Nothobranchius furzeri: one gene and its partner. The protein of the gene in region 1 purifies or fractionates together with the protein of each later gene. This does not show direct contact. Links are inferred from orthologs where the notes say so. Each region holds a gene or a part of one and is shown on either strand. Other genes may lie near its edges.

The links. Proteins that work in one complex are often made in the same cells at the same time.
Region 2: the proteins of kpna3 (region 1) and kif22 purify together in Homo sapiens (affinity purification with mass spectrometry; 3 studies listed by BioGRID and IntAct, counting the BioPlex papers as one, with this or other methods). This does not show direct contact. The link is inferred for Nothobranchius furzeri from reciprocal best matches to the Homo sapiens genes KPNA3 and KIF22.

The regions. Positions count from the first base shown.
Region 1 is NC_091754.1:26,747,598-26,751,350, reverse strand, and holds the start of kpna3 (importin subunit alpha-4), read left to right. Parts: upstream 1-827; 5' UTR 828-959; coding exon 960-1,028; intron 1,029-3,472; coding exon 3,473-3,517; intron 3,518-3,753. UniProt on the Homo sapiens protein: Functions in nuclear protein import as an adapter protein for nuclear receptor KPNB1. Binds specifically and directly to substrates containing either a simple or bipartite NLS motif.
Region 2 is NC_091756.1:34,663,600-34,667,352, forward strand, and holds the start of kif22 (kinesin-like protein KIF22), read left to right. Parts: upstream 1-1,292; 5' UTR 1,293-1,417; intron 1,418-1,665; 5' UTR 1,666-1,683; coding exon 1,684-1,871; intron 1,872-1,946; coding exon 1,947-2,074; intron 2,075-2,150; coding exon 2,151-2,302; intron 2,303-3,753. Other genes in the region: pagr1 (PAXIP1-associated glutamate-rich protein 1), read right to left, coding at 387-558. UniProt on the Homo sapiens protein: Kinesin family member that is involved in spindle formation and the movements of chromosomes during mitosis and meiosis. Binds to microtubules and to DNA. Plays a role in congression of laterally attached chromosomes in NDC80-depleted cells.

The DNA of each region.
Region 1 (3,753 bases):
CCTAGAGCTCAACCAGTGTCAATTTAATACAGCGTAATATTGTTTTTGGAAGGTAAAAAGTGCAGGGGTCAAAACTTGACTTTGGAAAAAGTAGGGGGGACATGTCTCCCTGTCCCCCCCCCACTCCCCCCGCCAAAATTACCTCCATGTGTTTGATGCCTTTCTAATTTCTGACAATTAATTGTTTTTTTGTGTGTTTGTGGAAGCGTTGTTTCCAGCTGTTCTCTCTCCTTGACCAGGGCAGCTGTAAAATATATTTTAAAAGTCTGCAATCCAATCACAGTTGTCCTTTTCCACAACCTGAGTGCCAGGGCGATGTGGCCTAAAATCAATATCACGATACTTCGAGGATTTTACCTCGATACCGATAAATGGACGATAATTACAGGTATGTACAGAAACAAAAGTTGTCCACTAGATGGGGCTTTCACTTGTATGACGTTGAGTCAAATTTTTACGTGACTCAAAGGGACATGAATGTTGCCAACTTACACACATCTTTTCATTTTTTTACTATCAAATTTTTAACATGGGAAAAATGATCTCGATAAGAGTCAGAATTTTTGATAATGATACATTTTCGATTTGTTGCCCAGCACTACTCATGCATAATGTAACAAACTGATTGCTGAACCCTTTTCTTTTGGATTTCCTAATAAGAGAGAAGTATCCACTGTCATGTAGAACGTAGAAGGGTGCACACTTTCCAAAAAGCTACCAAACGACTTTTTATTGTAATAAAGATTTATTAGGCACCATGGCATCAATTTCCAGTTCATCTGCTTGCTTTGATCTCAGGTGTTGGAAACCAGGACAGCCGATGTAACTCCTCCCCCCACTCTGCGATCTCCTCCTCCTCTCCGGAGCCAGCCCAGCCGCAGCAGCACAGGAGCTGCCGTGCCTCGTCTTTCACGGAGGAGATACAGACAGCCGGAGTAAAATCCAAACCCCGTACAGCCATGGCAGACAACGCCGGCTTGGAAAACCACCGCATCAAGAGCTTTAAAAATAAGGGACGTGATGTCGAGGTGAGCTCTTTTTGAGGATATGCGTTTAAATGTCTTTAATCTTAATATTTTAATGTAGATGGGAAAAGCCGACTACCGTCAGGCCTTGCTTGGTAGCCTGGCCCCGGCTGAAACTTCCCAGCCTGCCTGTTAGCTAAGCTACCACAGGGTGGTCGCCATCAAAGATTTCATTACATGAAAATTAAACTCTTAAAGACGACAGCTGTGATGGACTTCAGCGTGGATAAGTCATAAACCTCAGCAACCACTGTGACTGAAAGCTGGATCATAGTTGGGCTTTTAGAACTATGAGAATTAGGGCAGGCGATGTAGCTGTCAGTGCCGGTGTTTTAACGAAAAAGGTACCCCTGCCATTAAAAGCACACTAGTCGGAAATGCGTTATAAATTAAACCATGGTTTGTTTTACTTAACTAAATTAACCACGTTTTCTCCACATATAAGTCAAGTATCGTTTATTCTGTAAAGCTATGCAGTTAATTAGATTGTAATGATGTATTCGCAGTAGTTATGTTGAGGTAGGCTGCTAGGATGCAGTTTTTTTTTTACCCTGGAAGTCTTCGAAATCATGCATCATAATGTACATTGTTTTTTTCCCCCTATAATGTACGTTTAAAAAAATCTTGGCCATAAATAGACGTTACCCAGTGACTAAAGCAACTTATCTCGTTTCTGAACGTTAAGAATATTACAAATTTAGGTCTAAATGTAACGATAATTTAAGTAATCCTAACAAGCTGTCCTTAAATACGCTTCCCATGATGGGTTTCTTTGGCGACTGGTGTACTTTTTTCGACACGACACTAGCTAACTTTAGCTAGCTAGTTTGATGGACACCGGTCTCAAGCGAGGCGGGGCCTACCCGGCTTCAAAATCGCGATATTTCCAATCTTTTTATGCCACCCCACTGTAAACAAAAATGCTAACCAAAGAACGTCACATATAATCAATATTATATGGACAAGTGTGATTTGGGTGGATCGGTGACGGGTGCTCGTTTACCCTAGCCACCCCTCCTCGTTAGCATGCAAACGCGAGCCTGCCAACCGAGCAGCTAGTGTTGTGTCTATCTGTTTTTCTTTAAATATTTGTATTTTCAGTCACCATTAAATTAGGTGACTTTCCTCACAAAAGCAAAGGATAACAAGCTAGCCATTCTGTTAACTATAACCTGTAGTAAAAGGTTATGTCGAATCACAAATGCCCTAACTCAGCATTTCTGTAAAAATTTAAATGTAGTTTACCGTTTTATTGTAAGTCACATTCTAGAAAACACTAGATTTATTTTGTGTACCTACTAGCATATCTAAAATGCTGCATCTTTCACTGAATTTGTCTAAATTGCTCATTGACACTGTAGCCAAAGCAGTTGGTAAAGGATTTGTTTCAAGTTTAAACAAACAAAAAATAGCAAATCTATCATTTCTGGGTTAAAAAATGTTCAAATCAAATGACTAATCTACTCTGGACTTGTTCAAATTATCTGTGAAATGTAAACAATTTTCTTTTAGGGCATTTCTCTCAGCCACAGGGGGGATTACTAACAAAAACATACTTGTTTTAGTGTTGTTCTAATTTATCGGTAATCCCAAGATAATCCACAAACAAAGGTATGTCTGAGAATGCCCTTTCCAAATTCACCAGACGGGAGTTTCACCATCAGAGTGGTGCCTGTATTGGTTGTTTTGAAACTGGAAGTGTGTGTTCGACAAGCACATGGCTACTGGGATCGAGCCTCTGCCAAAGTGCATTCCTGATGCTATTTCAGGCATCTTGGAAGTCTGACCCAGTCCTTCTCAGAACCTCGGCATGAAATTGGGTTTTTGAAAGTGGGTGACTCAGACTACAGCAAATTTGTTTTAGGTCAGCTGCAAAAGAGTGCATTTCATTTTTAACACCTATTGAACTGAATGAGGTCCCACACCCAGACTTAGTATCTTAGTTTTGAATATTGAAAAAGTATTCCATTAATTAGAGTTTTGAAATCTTTTGCTCGACAGATGAAATGTGAGCATTGCTGAAATCATGTGATAATTCACATCTGTATTTAAGAAGCAGTTTAGTTCGGATCAGTACCCCTGGCATTATCATTGTTTTGCAGTGGTCTGGAGCCGCTTCTCTGTTATGACAGCCCAAAGTTACGTAAGAGGCTATTTAGGATGGCAACATGAACCTCTTTAACAGTCACAAGATCTTAGACCATCTCAAAATGCTCTGGATGAGCGAGAAACCCAACAGATGCACTTATACAGCAAAACTATTAAACAGTTTCTCATCACCTGGACTAAAATGAGTTGATTTTCACCTCAAACACAAAGATACGGTCATTTATTGTAACATGTTACATTTTTATCTCTTGTTGTTTTGTAAGACTTCCATCACACTTAAATGCCAGTGTGAAACTATATAATCTTGTTCACATTCTTTGTATTTTCTCCCGTTTCAGACTATGAGAAGACATCGAAACGAAGTGACAGTTGAGTTGAGAAAGGTGAGAAAAGATTCACACGACAGTATTCAGGAACACACAAGCAAATGCACGCACATAATCTGTCCGCGTAAGGCCGATCTGTTTCTGACTCTGGAACAGCAAAGAACGCACATCAGTTTTAAACTTCTGACAACATATAAACAACGTCAAATAGATGATAGCGTTAGTTATTGGATATTGACCGATTTGAGTTTTTCTGTTGCCGATATCTGGAGGTCCTGGACAGCCGATGGCCG
Region 2 (3,753 bases), on another chromosome or scaffold:
TTATTTCAAAAGTTCGTTCGTTCAAAACATAGAAGTAAGGAGAATTTGAGTAAAGTGAACACAGATCATTTTACAAGGTCTGGTGTGTCAAGTGTGTTTGTGGCATCATTTGACTTTTTTTGGTGTATTTTTTTTATAACTGCAAATGATAAATACAAGTGTGTCCTAACTGAAGAAGTAATCTAGTTAAATACTTGGGAATTAAATATTGACCAAAAACACAATATTTCTGATTATTATTCACAATTGAGCAGCCCTATTCTTTATGTGGCTTGTTATTTACTGATACAGCCTTTGAGTGATTGCTTTTGGCCACATCTGGTGCTAATCAGACGGATTTCTGACTCCAAGAGTTTACAAAGTTATTTATCCTTTAAGGGAGTTACCTGTGTCATCCTTTGCAGTGGTGTCTTTCTCCTCTGTGACAGCTGTCATCTCTGAGTCCTGTTGCTTCTCTAGGCCGCCTTCCTCCTGGTCTGCAGCAGATTTCTCTGGATCATTCACACCTAGAGCCTCAACACCCTCTCTAAGAGAAGAGTTGGTGACTTCAGTCTGCATCCTACCTGCTGCTGGACAACTTTAATAGGATCTGCGAAACAGCAGCATGTTTGATAATAATTAGCAATGGGAGATAATGGCAGTTATTATTTACACGGGTAACGAGTCAAGTTACGCCTGTTACTAAAGCGTAATAAGCAATTTGAGAATATTTAGGTTTATTTGTTTTATTCCTACTGGGCTAGCTAACGTCAAACCGCACCGCAGAAATAAAGGAAATCCTTCATTGTTATTACCGATTTGTCGTGAGTCAGCGTTGGTCACGTTAAAATTTGATTTTAAAGTAATTCCCAAGTGATGGGATCATCATAGCTCTCCATGAGGCTAGCTAAGTGCATTAAAAGATTCAACATGGACATAAACATAGCGCCATTTTGGCTGAATAGGTTGCTTGACGATGTTGTCGCGTTTAACCGGGCTCCAAATCCCGCTGATTTAAATGCGTATGGCTAAGTCATTCCAGGGCTTCTACTGTCTAAAATGTGAAAGGAGATGAAGTGGAAATCTACGCTAAACGTAACTTCCTGTTAGCTGTGCCGTGGCTAAACGACTCGTATTGTTTGGAGGGGAAAAGTAAAACCTCTTTAATTTAACTTTTACTCAATATACTAGTTTTTAAAATATACTATTAAATACAACAAAACTACAATTATGTTTTATGAATTATTTAGCGCTTAATGAGATCGCTGAAAGGCGCCAGCGTTCACGCGAGCTCTGATTGGTTAAAACCCATTTCCGGTCTCAGTCTTTTCGTTTAAAATTTTTTCAGTTAGAAGTTTTGGCCCATCGCCATTGTTAAAAGGAGAAGCTGGGAATGTTTGGACGATAAAAACGCGTTTTTTGGAAGACGTTTTTAACGGTAAGCTTTCCCCAATAAACTTAAAAAAGCGGAGTGGCAGATTTCGAGGAAACATTAGTTTGGAAACAACATTACCTCCTTTCGTGTGTTTGCTTCTCGTGACGCAATGATGAAAACCTAGAGCTTACCTTCAAATACTCCATTTATGCTCTGTTCATGCATTTACTGGTGTGTATTATACTAAATATTCGCGTGGCATAGAGTTTGATAAAGTGGATGAACATCACTCTGGCTTTTTCGTTATCCAGGCCTTTGTTTGTGTGAAGATGGCGCAGCGTGTGTTGGTAGCAGATGGTGGAAACAAGAAGACCTCCCGGGTTCGGGTAGCGGTTCGTCTGCGGCCTTACATGAGCAAACAAGATGATAAACACGAGGGTCCGTGTGTCAGAGGCCTGGACTCCCAGAACCTGGAGATAGTCAACTGGAGGAATGCAACAGAAACTGTGAAATACCAGTCAGTATCACTCTCCCAAGTGTCCTCCTCTCCTCACGACATTTGACTCTAAACATGGTTTGGTTTTTGTTCCAGCTTCGATGTTTTCCACGGAGAGGACACAACACAGGAAGAGGTTTTCCTCTCATCAGTGAAGTCGATTCTACCAAATATACTGAAAGGACAAAACGCCAGCGTGTTTGCTTATGGGCCAACAGGAGCTGGTGTGTTCTGGTGCCATTGTCACTGGAATAAGTGTGTTTTTCTTCCTAACATTAACCTGCATGGCTTCATTCACAGGTAAGACTCACACCATGTTGGGAAGTCCAGAGCAGCCTGGCGTGATCCCTCTAGCTGTTGAGGAGGTCTTTAATCTGGTCCGAGCCACGGATCAGGATGAAGGATGGGACTACAGCGTAGGAATGTCATATTTGGAAATTTATAATGAAAAGGTTTGTTTGTCCCGGTTACATCATTACTGTATGCACAGTGGTCTCCAGTCTCCTCAGGTTGGGAATCACTGTACAGATGAAGCTCAAAATATTAGAATATGATGCAAAAGCAGATTAAAGGTGAAACTAATACATTAAAAAAAACTTAATTACATGCAAAGCCAGATATTTCAAGCCCTTGTTATAACTGATGATTATGGCTTACAGCTTAATGAAACCCCACATTCAAAATCTCAGACTATTAGAATATTGTGAAAAGGTTCAATATTCTAGACTCATGCGCAAATAACCTGTGAAAATAATTGAAGACATCATGCTAGATCAGCAGCCTGTGATGACACCTGGTTCTGCTCACTGTAGGAGCCGCTTTAGAATAAATAAATATAATAATATACCAAAAATGAATCAAACCAAGCTCTTCAAAACACCGAACTGAATACTATTTTATCGTTACCGCACCGTTACACCCCTAAAATCTTTAATTACACACATAAACCACCTGGTACACTCAGACAAAATGACATTACACACAGATCAGTTTACAAGTACAACAATCCTTTTGAGACTCTTTTCTCACCTGACTGATTTGTGTGTGTATGGTGCATTTGAATACTGGGTGGAAGCTGGGAAATCTGAATTTCCTTTGGATTTAGTTTAAACTTGTGTTGACGGGACAAATGTGTTTTTCTGTGGAAAAACAGAGTACCGTAAATCCTCTAATATTGGCCTGTATTCAGTTAACTGCCGGGTATCACATTTTGGCCGGTGTCTGAGTTGGCGGAGGTGAATAATGGTCGGTTTTTTATTGTGGCCAGGTGAAATGTGGTAACAAGCAAGTACCACGAGGGGGGGGGGGGGGGCGCGGTTGTGTCATCGTCTCACTTTTGATTTGCCAGTGATAGACTGCGAGGGTAACTTTAACGGTGCGGAGACGAAGAGGAGGCGAAAATTTGATATCAAGTTCAAAGAGAACGTGCTGATTATACTGCAGAACACTCTGGGGAGCAGTAGCAGGGGTTGTATGAACTAGTCACTAGTCGACTTCACTATAGTGACTTTTTATGCCTGTCATCGACTAGTCGCTGTCACGTGATAATGACCGGCAAGATGTAGTCCACGGAAAAGACAGCAGCCTGCTGTCAGCAGGTGACAAGCTCCTGCGTGTCGGGAGGCGACGCACTGTGCCAGAGCGTCGGTACTGACACCCGCCGTAAAACGGACATTTAACCAAATTGTGACCTTTACCCTCTTGCAATTTAACATTCCCCTCACCCCCATCCTACCCTTAACTAGCTTGCGCATGCAAAGCTCTGATTGTTGACGTGCTCCAGACATCTGCGTCCTGAGTAACGTTATCAAATCAGGTGTCGCCACCTCAAAAACAAATTGAACACGCGATCGTTCATGTCGGCTCATTTCCTTTTATGTTTTCTGTCTTTTACTTTATTTGT